Pelodiscus sinensis: one gene and its partner. The protein of the gene in region 1 interacts with the protein of each later gene in a pairwise test. Links are inferred from orthologs where the notes say so. Each region holds a gene or a part of one and is shown on either strand. Other genes may lie near its edges.

Region 1 (7,352 bases):
AACATCTTTATTAATGACCTGGATGAGGGGATGGATTGCACCCTCAGCAAGTATTCAGATGAAATTAAGTTGGGGGAAAGGTAGATATGAAGGAGGGCAGGGATAGGGGTCAGAGTGACCTAGGCAAATTGGAGGATTGGGCCAAAAGAAATCTGATGAGGTTTAATAAGAACATGTGCAGAGTCTTACACTTGGGCTGGAAGAATCCCAATCACTGTTACAGGCTGGAAACCAACTGGATAAGCAGCAGTTTGGCAGAAAAGGACCTGGGGATTACAATGGATGTGAAGCTGAATATGAGTCAACAGTGTATCCATGTAGACAAGAAGGCTAAAGGAATATTAGGGTGCATTAGGAGGAGCATTTCCAGCAGATCTAGAGACGTGGTTATTCCCCTTTATTCAGCACTGGTGAGGCCACATCTACAGTATTGTATCCAGTTCTGGGCCCCCCCACTACAGAAAGGATGTGGGTCCAGTGGAAGGCAATCAAAATGATTAGGGGGCTAAAGCCCATGACCTACGGGGAGCAGCTGAAGAATTGCTTTTCTGATGTACTTATCCAGAAATTCTTCCTGAATACAACCCATAAAGAGATTGATATATTGTAAAGACACCCTACTCTCCATGGTTGTTTCAGTCGTTTGGATGAACTGTTTGTCATTGAATGTAAAATTGTTATGGGTGAGGATGAAATGGATAAGTTTGGTGATGTGTTTGGGGTAGACATCTGAGTGTTGCCCATTTTCTTGTAAACATTTGAGATAGGCAGCAATTCTATCATTGGGAGGGATGTTTTTGTATAGGAAGGAAGTGTTGGTAGGCGGCAAAGGATGGTGCTCTGAGGGAGGTTGTTAATGTTATAGGTTTTCTTCAGAATGTCAGTTGTGGCCCTTTATGTGTCAAATAGTTTGAAAATTCCTTCCATAATAGTGCCTTGGCCATGGTTCCTTTGTTTGTATCTCGGGAAGCATAGAAGGTCCCTTGCATGGGTTTGTGAGGGATTAACATTTTCTTGTATTTCCTGAGAAATGCCGTCAGTGCTAAGTCAACCATTCCCTTCCCATGCCAGTGAATGACATCGGCATCAGACATACCATCTACTGTCAGGTCTTCATCCATTTAGACAAATTTGGGTAGGGAACAGAGTCTTCAGGAGCCACCATTATTGTCAGGTCAGGATTTACTGTTGTGGTGTCCTGATAGGTCTTCTGCTCTGTCAATGATGATAACTAGAAGGCTGCTTGCATGTGCTCAGTGATGTGTGCTGTGTTGACTTGTAGAGTTAGTTAACACAGCAGACTTCAAGAAAGCCCGCAAAGACACAAATCAGATAAGGATCAAAGGTGCCCAGTCAGGTTTATTGTTAAGCGAAGTACAGTAATAGTTGTCAGAAGATTCTACCAAGCCACTATGTATAGGTACACCAGAAAAATGGACCCCCAGCTGTTCGAGGGAAGCCTCAACCTCTGTCTGGGAGTACAATTCTTCCACCTGCACCCCATTGTGCACCACCACTTCTAGCAGCTGGACACCAGTTCCAACTGGTGGGACCGGCTTGTGATGGAGCAGTGGGGCAACCAGCAGTGGCTCCAGAATATCCGAATGAGGAAGAAGAACTTTCTGGAGCTGTGTGCCTGACTTGCCCCTGCCCTCACATGATGGGACACTCAGATAAAACCCCCCATCTCCATGGAGAAGTGGGTCGCCATCGCTATCTGGAAGCTCGCCATGCTGGAAAGTTAGAGATCCATTGGCAATCAGTTTGGCATGGGGAAGTTGACCATTCAGGTCCTCATTGTGCAGGTATGGCACTCTCAGGCTGCAATACCAGGAGGGGGGTAGGTAAAGTGCTGGAAAGGGAAAGTCTAGGGAAAGGGGGGATGGCTACATTAGAGGGTGGCACCTGGTGTGGGTGGGCATGAAAGGGGGGGGCTTGGTGGCCTCTCAAGGACTCTGTCACCCCAGTGATTCTTTGTCTCCTTCTGTAGGTGGGGACAGCCATCAACACCATCCTGCTGTGCAGGGTCATCCAGCTCAACAACATGGACCTCACCGTCACTGGCTTTGCCACCATGGGCTTCCCCAACTGCAGGGGGGGGCTATTGATGGCACCCACGTCTCCATCCAGGCCCTCGACCACCGGGAATCTCTCTACATTAATCACAAGAAATACTTTTCTATGGTCCTCCAGGCCTTGTTAGACCATGGCAGGCAGTTTACAGAAATTTACATCAGGTGGTTGGGGAAGGTGAAATAATGGAATTGCTGTATAGACGCTCACATTGTTATTTCAGAATAATGACTGTTATTCTGAAATAACAGTTTAGCATAGATGCATCCTCAATGGCTATGAGTTACACCAGCTTTCATGTAGAACAGGACTGAACCCCTTTCCTTGGGATCTGTCTGTAGCAGCAGAGGCCTTTCAGGAGCCTGGAGCAGACTATCAAAAGAATCAAGATTGGATCCATGATAAAAATTGTCAACTTTGTAATGTTTGGAAGGAAAAACTATCTTCAACGGGAAGGTCTTGTACTGAGGACACAGGGCCAGCTCTTAGGCATCCTTGATTCACTTAGGGTATGTCTACCCTAGCTCGGTAGTTCGAGCTAGGTAGGCAAATGAGGGCAACCGGAGTTGCAAATAAAGCCCGGGATTTAAATATCCCGGGCTTCATTTGCATCTTCCTGGGTGCCATCATTTTTAAATCCCCCTTAGTCCGAACTCCGTGCCCGTGGCTACACAGAAAGAGGTGTACCGCTACTTCGAATTAGAGATCCTACCCTCATTTGCCTATCTAGCTCGAACTACTGAGCTAGTGTAGACATACCCTTGCTGGCTTTGCCGCAGACTTTCTCCATGAACTGGGATAATACACTTAATCCCTCTGAAAATCCTGCTGTTTCTCATCTGTAAATGGATATCATGCAGATATAAAGGGTAGATGCTGAAATTGTGCCTCTAGGAATGAAGTCTTTACATCACCAATCCAAAGTGATGGGAAGAAACTGGAAGAGGAGGAATTTTGAAGGATGATACAGGAGTGGGGTGAGTGGTCATCTTCCCTGAAAAAGATACGCCCATATAATGGTAGGAGAAAAATCCTCATGTTCTCTGTGGCAAGCTGCATCTACATTGTGCTGAAAGGCTCCCTATGTATCTGCAGTACAGGCAGTCCCCGGTTACGTACAAGATAGGGACTATAGGTTTGTTCTTAAGTTGAATTTGTATGTAAGTCGGAACTGGCTTCCAGATTCAGCCGCTGCTGAAACTGACCAGCGGCTGACTACAGGAAGCCCGAGGCAGAGTTGCTCTGCCCTGGGCTGCCTGGAATCAGCCGCTGATCAGTTTCAACAACAGCTGAATCTGGATGCCTAGGACAGAGCAGCTGGGGCGTGCCGGGTAGGTCCCCGCAGGGGCAGCGCTGCGGGGGCCAACTGGGCAGCACCCCAGCTGCTCTGCCCCAGGTGTCCCCAAGTCAGCCGCTGCTGAAACTGATCAGCGGCTGATTCCAAGAAGCCCGGGGCAGAGCAACTCTGCCTCAGGCTTCCTGTAGTCAGCCGCTGGTCAGTTTCAGCAGCGGCTGAATCTGGAAGACAGTTCCGAGGGGCTGGGGCTGCGGGGCAGCCCAGGTGCGCCTGGGCTGTCCCGCTGCCAGCTTCCCCCGAGGCTTTGCAAAGCCTCGGGGGAAGCCGGCAGCGAGACAGCCCAGGCGCACCTGGGCTGCCCCGCTGCCTGAGCCCCTCCGCAGCTTTGCTCCGCGTCTTCCTGGTCTGCAGACCAGGGAGACGCGGAGCAGCTTTTCTCGCCCCGGAGTACACGGGCGGTGGGACCGCAAGGTCCCGCAGTCCGTGTCCTCCGGGGCGAGAAAAGCCCTGTTCATAACTGCGGATCCGACATAAGTCGGATCCGCGTAAGTCGGGGACTGCCTGTACTTTAGACATTCTGAGGCAAATGATTTCTTTCAATAAAGTCACGAATAATACAAGCAGTGTAGTGTTACTTGTGTTTATTTTATATTGCGTTCCATTTATATTATGGTGCTCCCAAAGTTTCAGCACAGTTCAGACTTTTCTGCTGGAAATTCATAAGCACCACTGGATGTGGGGAGATGTGGCTGCTGCTAGCTCACATGCAATTCTGCTAGTACCAATACAAGAAACAGCACAGGTCGATCTTAGTAATTGTGACATAAACGTGATGTAATCAGCACATCACTTACATTGTCCTTTGTTAAATAGCTCCTTGTGACATCATTATTCCTAACTGGAATGAGAACCATTTACCCCAGCTCAAAGCTATTTAAAAAGTGCTACTGTGTAAAGTGATCAGTGTTTTGTGGAACAATGGTCAGTATGTTATGCCTCAGCTGGCCATGTTGCCCAGGCTGCCGTTGCTGCCCCCCACTGCAAAGGACTGATCAAGAATGCTGTTCATGCTGGCGTTTTTTCTTCACTGATGAGCGGAATTGTAGCTGTTGCCCCTGCCCATATGCAGAAGGCAGAGCTTGCCAGTGTTGTCACTGCTCGTGTTCAGAGAATCCAAATTGTCGTTGGTGCTGCTGCTCCTGTTCAAATGACCCAGACTGCAAATGCTGTTGCTGTACTTCAGAGAACACCACCTGCCAATATTATGAAAGCAGATGCTGCAGGAATACCCTCTATGCATCATACCTTCCCAGAGCCAGAAGACGACACCAGTAAGTGCATTGGAAGAATGATTCTGAATCAGGAGGAAAATTTAAAAAATCATCTGTGTACCCCAAAACCAAACTCACACCCTGAACTTTTATTTCAATTTGGATCAAATGAAATGTTTTATTTCCATCATTTCAAAATGCTCCATTTTGCTGTTGCTCTTTAAGCTATAGATTTAAAAAAAAAAGATATTTTGAAGTGGGCAATTAGAATTTTTCATTTAGAAAATATCAAAATGGTTTGACAATTTTTCAAAACTTTTTTCCTGAAATTTATTCAAGGCTGAAAATTCTATGAAAAGGACTCTGTTTTGTGAACTGTTTGGATTTTAACAAATTCCCCCCAGCTCTAAGGTGTGTCTAGACTGCAGGGATTTTTCGAAAAAAGTGGCCTTTTTTCAAAAAATCTTTATCTGCATCTAGATTACTGCCTCATTATTTCAACAATAAATTGAAAGAACGCAGTTTTTTTTTTCAACCATGGTAAACCTCGTTTCATAAGGAATAACGCCTTTTTTTGAAAGTGCTCTTTCAAAAAAAGGCTCTATGTAATACAAACTGTGCTTTTTCGAAAGAGAGCATCCAGGTAGTCTGGATGCTCTCTTTCAAAAAGGCGGCTTGCTTTTTTGAAAAAGAAATGGTTGTAATCTACACGCTCTTTTTTGAAAGAGGCTTTTTCAAAAGAAGTAGCTTTTTAGGCAGTCTAGACGTAGCCTAAGTGAGTGAAAGCCCGAGAAAATGAAAGAGAGGAGTGTGCAGTGAGATGGGACACATGCTTTCGAAAGAGGCATATGAAGTCTGATGTAAGAGAAAAATGCTGACTGAGGGTATGTGTACTCTAGAGGAAGATCGAAGCTGCCGCTGTCAGTCTTCCAGGGTTCGAATTAGCATGTCACGTTAAGACAGCCAATTTGGACTGTGAGGGATGGTCCAGTCAATGCCGGTAGCCCTGCTTTCACAAGAAGTAAGAGAAGTCGAAGGGAGAACATTCTCGCTTCAACTTCCTGCTGTGTAGACAGCGCCAAAAGTCGAGTTAAGGTACTTCAACCTCAGCTACGCAATTAATGTACCTGAAGTTGTGTATATTAATTTTACTTTATCCCATAGTCTAAATGTACTCTAATAGAAAATGGTGGGCAAGGTATGGGAGTAGAGGAAAATGAAGAGTCAATTGCATAAAAAATCTTCTCAAAAGAGTAAAAAGATGGGATGATGCTAGTTTTGAGGGGAGGGAATTGAAATACGTACAGCACCAAGCATAGATTACATTAAGGAACCACAATGGGGGGAGGGGGAGATATGGCTCTGAGAAATTGTAGCCAGACCAAAGTAGTGCTAGTAACAATAAAAAGTTAGACTGCGAGTAGAGAAAAAAACTGATTGATCTGCTGAGCTACATGACACGTAAGTGATTCTTGCCTTTAAAATATGTAACTCTGGCTCTGAAAGGGCAGCACTAGGAAGAATCTGTTTATTTATGATATTACACACAATAATTGATACATGCAGGAGGGGACAGGCAACAGCCGAGGGGGAGAAGCAGCAATGTGGGAGTGTGTGAGGAGCTTTGGAATATGGGATTAAACAGCAGCAACAAGCATGGAGAGGAAAGAAAAGTAGGAGTGAAGGCAGCATTAGAGAAGCAGGGAGTGGGTACAAAGCCACAGCCAAGTCTACAGCAAAGACTGAATGATGAGGCAGCAATTTTATCTCATCGTTCTAGTGACTATATTAACCAACTGAGCTTATGTCATCTTCATTGGAATGATCGTGGAGAGACAGTTGGCCAAGTTTTTCAAAAGTGACCAGGAAGATTCCAAGTGCCCTGCTGGATACACATTAGACATAGCCTGACTTACAGAGCACTTTCTGAAAATCAGGCTTTTTTAAGGCATCCCAAGTCAGGCATTGAAAACTTTAAAACACCCAACTCACTTTTTAAACTTTTGTCCACAAAGAATCTTGAGTTGGCAATAAGGTGCCATTATAACACTGACTTTGATTCTCCTTGTAAGTCAAACTACAGTTAGATGCAGTTGTTGAGGTACCTTTTTATTTTACTATTCACATGTATAACAACTCATTATAATTTAACATGCAAAGCATATAAACAAGAAAAAGAGATGAAATTAAATACAGGTGTTTGCTAGTGATGTTTGTGTAACAGCTGCAACACTTGTGGTTGGTAATGGCAAAAGGAATATCTTGCAAAATAAAACAGGCAGCTTCATATACACTGTACAAACCAATATGCAACTATTACTGTGAACAGAAATGCTCATTGCATGTACTGCTGGCAGAAGAAAGCACAGTCGTAACCTGTTTCTTTAAATAAAAATCTTGGGGAAAATAGAAATTGATGGGGTTGTACAACATGACCATGTGCATTAGAATCTGTTTCTTACCGAGAATCCATTTTGGGGGGGGGGTTATTTTTCAGTTCAAAAGTTGCCTTACCAAGGTTTCGAAGTAAAAGTGACACATCAATCATTACACTGGAGAGAGATGCATCAGGACATGCTTTTCGTGACCAGCTCACTTGTCCATTGTGTAAACAACTATATCTCTACCCATTTATGCTGCCATGCAACCACTGCATTTGTGAGAAGTGTATAGATAAAAGAAAAGCCCAGGCTGAAGTAACTGAGAACTTC
Region 2 (7,736 bases), on another chromosome or scaffold:
CTGGGGAGGGGGTTCTGGGATGTGGCCAGAAATGAGGTGTTTAGGGTGGGGTGAGGGGAGATCTGACCTGAGGCAGTGGGTTGGGTGTGGGGCTCCAGTTGGGGGTGCAGGCGGGTGGGGCCAGGGATGATGGATTTGGAATGCAGGAGGGGGCTCCATGCTGGGGCTAAGGGGCTCAGAGGACAGGAGGAGGTGCAGGGCACAGGCTCTGGGAGGGAGTTTGGGTGTGGGAGGGGATTCAAGTTACATTTCTCCCAGATCAATACTAGAGATGTTAAAAAAGACTGAAAATGGGGCTAACACTTCTGATCTCTCACCCTTTGTCTGGTCCAGATTCTAAGCTCTCTAGAGAACAGGCTGCCTGTCACCTCATACCTGTTCAGTCCCTAGCACAGTAGAGCTGCGGACTCATCTGGGGACTTGCAACCACGGCCACAGTGCTAATAACAACAAATTAACCCACTAGACCAAACTGCTCGACATACAGATTCACTTTCTTTTCTCACAATTTGTTCTTATCACTTGCTTTGAAACATTACCTGGTATCACAGGTGTGCTTTGTGCAGCTCTCTGCTAACATGCTGTTTTGCATCTTATTTCAATCACACTCCTTGGTGAATGATAACAGATATCACTGCCTCTCTTTCCAGAGCTGGGTAACATAATAGCATGACTCTTCCTCTGGCACTAAGGGAGGGATTACACAGATACCTGTATGTCCTGCACACAACATCCAGACATATAAACAAGAGGCTTCAGAGGCTTTTGTTACAATGGTCCAGTAGTTCAGGCACTGACCTTCATGTGACAAGGCCTTGGTTCAATTCCATGTTATGCCACAGGGTTTCTATGTGACCTTGATCAAGTCACTTAGTTGTTCTGTGTCTCAGGATACATCTACAGAGAGGTGATATTTTGGGATACCTCAGTATCCCAAAATGCTGTAGCTACCTTGCATCTTAGAAACATGCCTGTTATTTTGAAATAGTTTTTGAAATAACACGGATGCTATTTCACCATCCTTGTAAACCTCGTTGCACAAGGGTTAAGGGATGGCTCGAAATAGCGCGTTATTTCAAAATTTGATGCTGTGTAGACAGTGCCAAATTTCAAAACAGCCTGTTTCGAAATAGACTCAAAATAAGCTCCACAATTTGCATAGTGCAAATTGTGTAGCTTATTTTGAGCTTAGGGTGCTGTGTAGATGCACCCTAGTTTCCCTGTGAGATACACTGCTACTTCACAGAGGTTTTGTGATATATTGTAGGGTGCTGAGGTACCTGGGCCAATCTAAGCATTAAAGAGAGAGACCTGGTTATTTCTAATATGCTGCATGAAAACATATTTTAACTAACAGGAAAACCCATCCCAAACATTTGCTGCTAGTTCAGTTGCAGGCTCTGCTCTGTGTCAAGCTGAAACAGTTATGACTATGACATCATTCAAGCAAACTCATTGACAATGATCCAGCTGAGGCACATAGCTCTCTAAGGTGCGCCACTGTTGGGAGAATCATCTCTGAAACTGTTAGCCCTTCCTCCCCCCTTCATGCAAAGGGAAGAGGTAATCAAAGACGGGCAGCAATACCTTCACTTCCCCAGAGGCATGGCCGGAATTAGCAGAAACCCTTTGTGAAGTCTTAGCATCAATTCCCAGTCAAACAGGAATTGTTTATTTAAACTATATGGGCCAGGGTCTGAAGTCAGAAGGATGTTGCATAAGTAAAGACCTCAAGATTTGATGTTATAAATGTTTTTCAAACATACACCAGCATCCAGAACAAGAGGAACAGCAAAAATCCCACCCATCTAACCCCAGTTCCCGACACCATAAAATGTCAATATAAGTGAAGCGTATCCAGGATTGAAGGACTGTGATAGTTTCTTTAAGGGTTAAAAAATAAATCCTTGGCTATTGCCAGAAAAGCTAAACAAACAAACCCTAAAGGAGCTAGTGCTAGTGCAGAGAGACACCATGCCAAAGCACTCAGCATAAGAACCACCATATAACGCAGACATGCCTGGCTGCTTTTTGACTTATCTGCTCGGGTTTCAGCATCATTAATTTTCCCTGAATGTGGAGCAGAACCTTTAATTTTGGTTTTTGAATTGTACTGTAAATATTTAGGACATAATGATGACCAGCTCTTTAGGCAGCGGTATGGAAGGCAGCAATGCACCTTCCCCCAGCCCACCTTGCATGGCCCACATTGCTGCGACAATGCTCCTGGGAGTGCAAGGGCTACTAATTATGCTGCTCGGGACCACGTCCCCTGAAAGTGGGAGAAGGAGAGAGAGAGAGAGAGAGAGAGAGAGAGGAGTAGGCAGGGCTATGGAGTTCTACCTACTCCCCCATCTGCACTGGCCGATAGATTTGGCTGGCTGGCTGCACAGGATGGGGTTATTTAATGGGGGGGTGTCAGACTATGCTCCTCTCTGTGTAACCAGAGAGGCTCCAAGATGCTTCCCAGTGCTCCCCCTGCTTCTGTCCCCAGCTCCGCCCTGCCCCAGCACAGGGCGGTATCTTGACAGCACTGTCTAGCCCTCAGTTATGTTAACATGGTTTTATGTAACATGGTTTTATGTAAATACATATTTGGAAACTGCCACATGGGGCCCAGGTTGTAGTATGAAGCAGCCTCTGTTTCTATACTATAGGAACAGATGACACCACAGCGCTGTGATCCGCTGGGGTGAAGATAACGGTGCAAGAGCAGGACTAGCGATGTGCTCCCCATAGCAGAGCAGAGGCACCAAAGGACTTTGTCTGGTTTTTACCTGGGTGTAACTGCATGCAGACGTCAGGAATTTCTGACCATTCAAGTGATCACCACCAGAGACAGGGAGATAGGACTCCTGGGTTCCATTGCAGCTTCTGACACTGATCTGCTGTGTGAAATGATAAGCACCAGGCACTTAAGAGTACTTAGGACCCAATCTATCAGCTTCATTTAGCATGGACACTCTAAGGGTATGTCTACACTACCGCGCTAATTCGAACTAACTTAGTTAATTCGAACTAAGCTAATTCGAACTAACGGATCCAGACTAAAAAACTAGTTCGAATTAGCGTTTTGCTAATTCGAACTAGCATGTCCACATTAAGTGGACCCTGAACCGGGGTTAAGGATGGCCAGAAGCAGTGCCGGCAGGGAATCAGATGAGGACGTAGAGCGTGGAGATGCTGTCTCAGGCTAGCCGAGGGCTGTGCTTAAAGGGTCCCGACCCCCACCACGGACAGACAGTTCTCAAGGGTTCCCCGCTTGCAAAGCAGTCCTGGCTTGGAGTGCCCTGAGTGCCCACACTCGGCACATCACAGCACTCGGCCATCAGACCGGCTGCACTTGCCGCAGGCTGCCATCTGGGGAAAGGGGGCAATTGGGGGGCTGTAGGAGAGCTTCCACCCCCAGAAGCCCGCAGAGCCAGCCCAGTCCTCCCCATCGGGGGCTCGTACACCATTCCTCCCTCACCTCCTTCCACTTACCCTTCCCTAGCCCCCCTTCCTGATGTACAAAATAAAGAAAACGTGTGGTCAAAAATAGAATCCCTCTTTATTGAACAAAACTCGGGGAGACTGGGAAAAGGAGGTGGGAGAGGGGAAGAGAGAGGGTGGGAGAGGGGAGGGCAACTAAAATGATCAGAGGTTTGGAACAGGTCCCATATGAAGAGAGGCTAAAGAGACTGGGACTTTTCAGTTTAGAAAAGAGGAGACTGAGGGGGGATAGGATAGAGGTCTATAAAAGCATGAGTGGGGTGGAGAGGGTGCATACAGAAAAGTTCTTCATTAGTTCCCATAATAGAAGGACTAGAGGACAACAAAGGAGAGGAATGGGTAGCAGGCTTCAAACTAGTAACAGAAAGTTGTTCTTCACAAAGCAAAGAGTCAACCTGTGGAACTCCTTGCTGCAGGAGGCTGTGAAGGATAGAACTATAACAGAGTTTAAAGAGAAGTGAGATAAAGTCATGGAGGTTGGGTCCATGGAGTGGTATTAGCCAGGGGGTAGGAGTGGTGTCCCTGCCCAAAGTTTACCTAATTCAAACTAAGCGCTCCGCTAGTTCGAATTAAGTTCGAACTAGCGAAGCGCTAGTGCAGCACCTATCAAAGTTCATTTGAACTAATGTCCGTTAGTTTGAATTAACTTTGTAGTGTAGACATACCCTAACTGACAATAGTTTTTCCCATTTTTTTCCTTCTCTTTCCCTCCTCATCCCCTCTCTTTCTCTGCTATTTATTGGAAACCTGGACCCCTTAACTCCATTCATCTGAAGAAGTAGGTTTTGCTCATGAAAGCTCATGATACCATCTGCATTTTTTGTTTGTCTCTAAAAAGTGCTGCAGGATTATTCATTGTTTTTTAAGTTTTTTCAGTTGCAGACTAACTTGGCTATCCCTCTGAAACTTTTGAACATGCCCAGTGGTAGGCACTTAAGACTGTTTACAGGCTTCTAGAATTCCCAGGCACTTCAGGACAGGGCCTTCCGGCTGTTTCGAAATGGACAGCCAGGACTTTTATAAGTGTACCTTGGTTTCAGAGTCTATTTGTTATATGTAAACACATGCCAAAAAAACACCCCTTGGGCATGCTCAGTAATGTCTAGCTCTTTGCAAAAGGCATGGGGAAAGTCACATGTGATAACAGTGAGAAGTCCATATGTGACTATTCTTAGCCCTGGAATGTACACAATGCCTCATTGCCTGGTGGTTCTTTCACAAAGCTCCTGAAAGCAGGGAAAGTGCCTTCAGAATAAACAAATTCAGAAAAGGCCCTCTATGAATCACTTACCAACAGAAAGGAACGTCTTGGGGGTATATAGTTTTTATTCATGTACTAGCTATGGAAAATCTCAGCAAAGAATAAACGGCACAAAGTGAGTGAAGTGCAGTCAAGGACAACATAAGGTAAACATTTCTAAGCTGTAATTTCACTGCATATTGAGCAGTCAGATAGCCATGAAGATAGATAGCCATATTATCATTCTGCCTGGCACATTGTTTAGTTGTATGTCTAATTAATATAAAACAACAGCTAAGCAGAGTTAATAGCCATTTTAATGCAGATTCCAAGTCTCTGAAGTTTGTCCTACTGCAGAGTTTAGCTCTGCCAGATTTACATTCTTTGGGAATGACTAACTTTAAGGGAAGGAGTCATAAGTTACTCCGTTGTGAATACTTTTAAACTAGCAAAGAACAGGCTAAGTACATTTATTAGACATGTTTAAAATGAACATACAATTTGCTTAGGGCTTTTCACATTAAATCCAAGTCAGCAACAGAACTGTAGTGCTTATGTTTTGTGTCGTGCTAATAAAAGAGTCAGACCTCACATCTGATACCTTTAAAAAACAAACAGATGCTGAGTGACCACTTGGTTTGTGTACTGCCTTCCCACTCCACTCAACCAGTGTTCCTATTTCTATGCACAAACAGAGAGTAACCATCAAAGATCTGTTCCCTGGCCACTTTGGGACAGGGCATTGAAATAAAAGCTGCTAAGAATTTGTTTTCTCTGCCAAGCCCAATATTCTTCTCTCCCACGTTTCGCTATGGAGGAAGAATCTGCAAAGGACTTTCTCTTCACAGACCAGGACTTCTCCTCTGAACTGCTGAGGCAGCTCAACATTTTAAGGCAAAAGGGGATGTTGACTGATGTTACTCTCTGCACTAGTGAGTTTGAAATCCCTTGCCACAGGAATGTGCTGGCTGCAAGCAGTCCTTACTTCAAGGCAATGTTCTGTAACAACTTTAAAGAGAGTTGCCAAGCAAAAGTCGACTTGAAAGGCATTGACTTCAATATTTTGTATCAGATTGTCCTTTATGTTTACACAGGAGAGATTCTTATAACACCCGAGAACGTCTTGTACCTCATGGAGGCCACTTCTATGTTACAATACATAAAATTGTTTCAGGCCTGCTCCTTGTACCTCCAGGGACAGCTGACTCCTGATAATTGCCTGAGCATGATAAGGTTCTCTGAAATCTTGAACTGCCAGAATCTCAATAAGAAAGCCAAGGAGATGGCTCTGAAGTGCTTTCCTGCAGTAGCATCTTCTGAAGACCTGAAGGAGCTTTGTGCCCTGGAACTTATTGATTACCTGGGGGATGATGAGCTCTGTGCTGAGGAGGAACAAGTGTTTGAGACACTGATGGTCTGGATCCGGCATGACCTCCAAACACGACAGGGCTACATCCAAGATTTGTTCAAGAAGGTCCGGCTCCAGTATGTCCACCCAACCTTCCTTTTCCACTTCATCGCCAATGACTCCCTCATTCAGTCTTCACCCGCTTGTAGAAGCATCCTGGAATCAGCCCGGAGACAGATGTTCTCATTGTATAGCACCAGCACTCCTGACATCAAACCCATGTGGCACGTTCCTCGCCGATATTCATACCAAGAGTTTCTCATAATCATTGGTGGCAGGAAGGACAACCAGACGACAACCAGGGACGTCCTGCTGTATGATGAGAAAACCAACCAGTGGCTGAGCCTCGCCAAGCATCCTGTGCGCCTTTACAAAGCTTCCACAGTGAGCCTGCATAGCAATATCTATGTATTAGGAGGGATGCCCGTTAGCAATGAGAAAAGTCCAGTCAGTGATCATGTTTATATTTTCTCCCTCAAGCTAAATCAATGGAGGTTAGTTGAACCCATGCTGGTTCCACGTTATTCCCACAGAAGCATAGCCTATAAGAACTACATTTTCTCAATTGGAGGAATTGGAGAGAACCAGGAAATACTGAATTCCATGGAGAGATACGATAGCATTTATAACATCTGGGAGAATATGGCAAGCATGCCCGTGGCTGTACTTCATCCTGCTGTTGCAGCTAAAGACCAAAGAATTTATCTCTTTGGAGGGGAAGATATTATGCAGAACCCTGTCCGTCTAATACAGGTAACTGTTGCTCCTGGTCAATATACGTGCATTTCGTCTAGGGTGTTCAGTGATTGATACCAAACCTAGTGGGTGAAATCAAAGCCCAAGATAGAACTGAATTTGCATTGAGTCTCATGCGGTAGAAGGCAAGAAACACGTGCCTAAGTTGGAAATGCTCCAGTATGTAGAAAATTATGTTTAAATGTTTTTATATTTCCACAAGTAGCCTTTATTATTAAGGCCCAAAGCCTGAGGCCCTTCTGAGGTTTTACTCAGTCCTTTCTCAGGCAGACTCCCATTGATTTCAATGAGATTTTCCTCATTGAGTAAAACTGAGTACAAGATCTCAGGGTAGAGTCTCTATGATTTTGGTGCATGTGAAAGGTGTCATATTGAAAGTCTTACAAAGTTATGCCTACTCAGGCCCTACCTCTAAGAACTTAACCACATGGCTAATTGTATATGTGAGTATTCCTGGTGAAGTCAATGCTCACTATTAGGTGGGTGATTAAGTGTCTGCTTGACTGAGGGTCTCAGTCCTTCATCCTCAGACAGTATCAGCAGAGACACCAAATTGTGATGGCAATTACAGGCAGTCCCCGGGTTACGTACAAGATAGGGACTGTAGGTTTGTTCTTAAGTTGAATCTGTATGTAAGTCGGAACTGGCATCCAGATTCAGCCGCTGCTGAAACTGATCAGTTTCAACAGCGGCTGAATCTGGATGCCAGTTCTGACTTACATACAGATTCAACTTAAGAACCCCAGGCATCCCCAAGTCAGCTGCTGCTGAAACTGATCAGCAGCTGATTCCAGGAAGCCGGGGGCAGAGCAACTCTGCCTCGGGCTTACTGTAGTCAGC

The links.
Region 2: the proteins of TRIM42 (region 1) and KLHL38 interact in binary tests that used the Homo sapiens proteins (3 or more experiments, as listed by UniProt). The two-hybrid records come from large-scale screens. The link is inferred for Pelodiscus sinensis from reciprocal best matches to the Homo sapiens genes TRIM42 and KLHL38.

The regions. Positions count from the first base shown.
Region 1 is NC_134720.1:12,775,183-12,782,534, forward strand, and holds the start of TRIM42 (tripartite motif-containing protein 42), read left to right. Parts: upstream 1-4,277; 5' UTR 4,278-4,348; coding exon 4,349-4,701; intron 4,702-6,304; exon of another isoform or gene 6,305-6,728; coding exon of another isoform or gene 6,729-6,742; intron 6,743-7,138; coding exon 7,139-7,352.
Region 2 is NC_134712.1:19,646,627-19,654,362, forward strand, and holds the start of KLHL38 (kelch-like protein 38), read left to right. Parts: upstream 1-4,666; 5' UTR 4,667-4,899; intron 4,900-5,427; 5' UTR 5,428-5,543; coding exon 5,544-6,893; intron 6,894-7,736.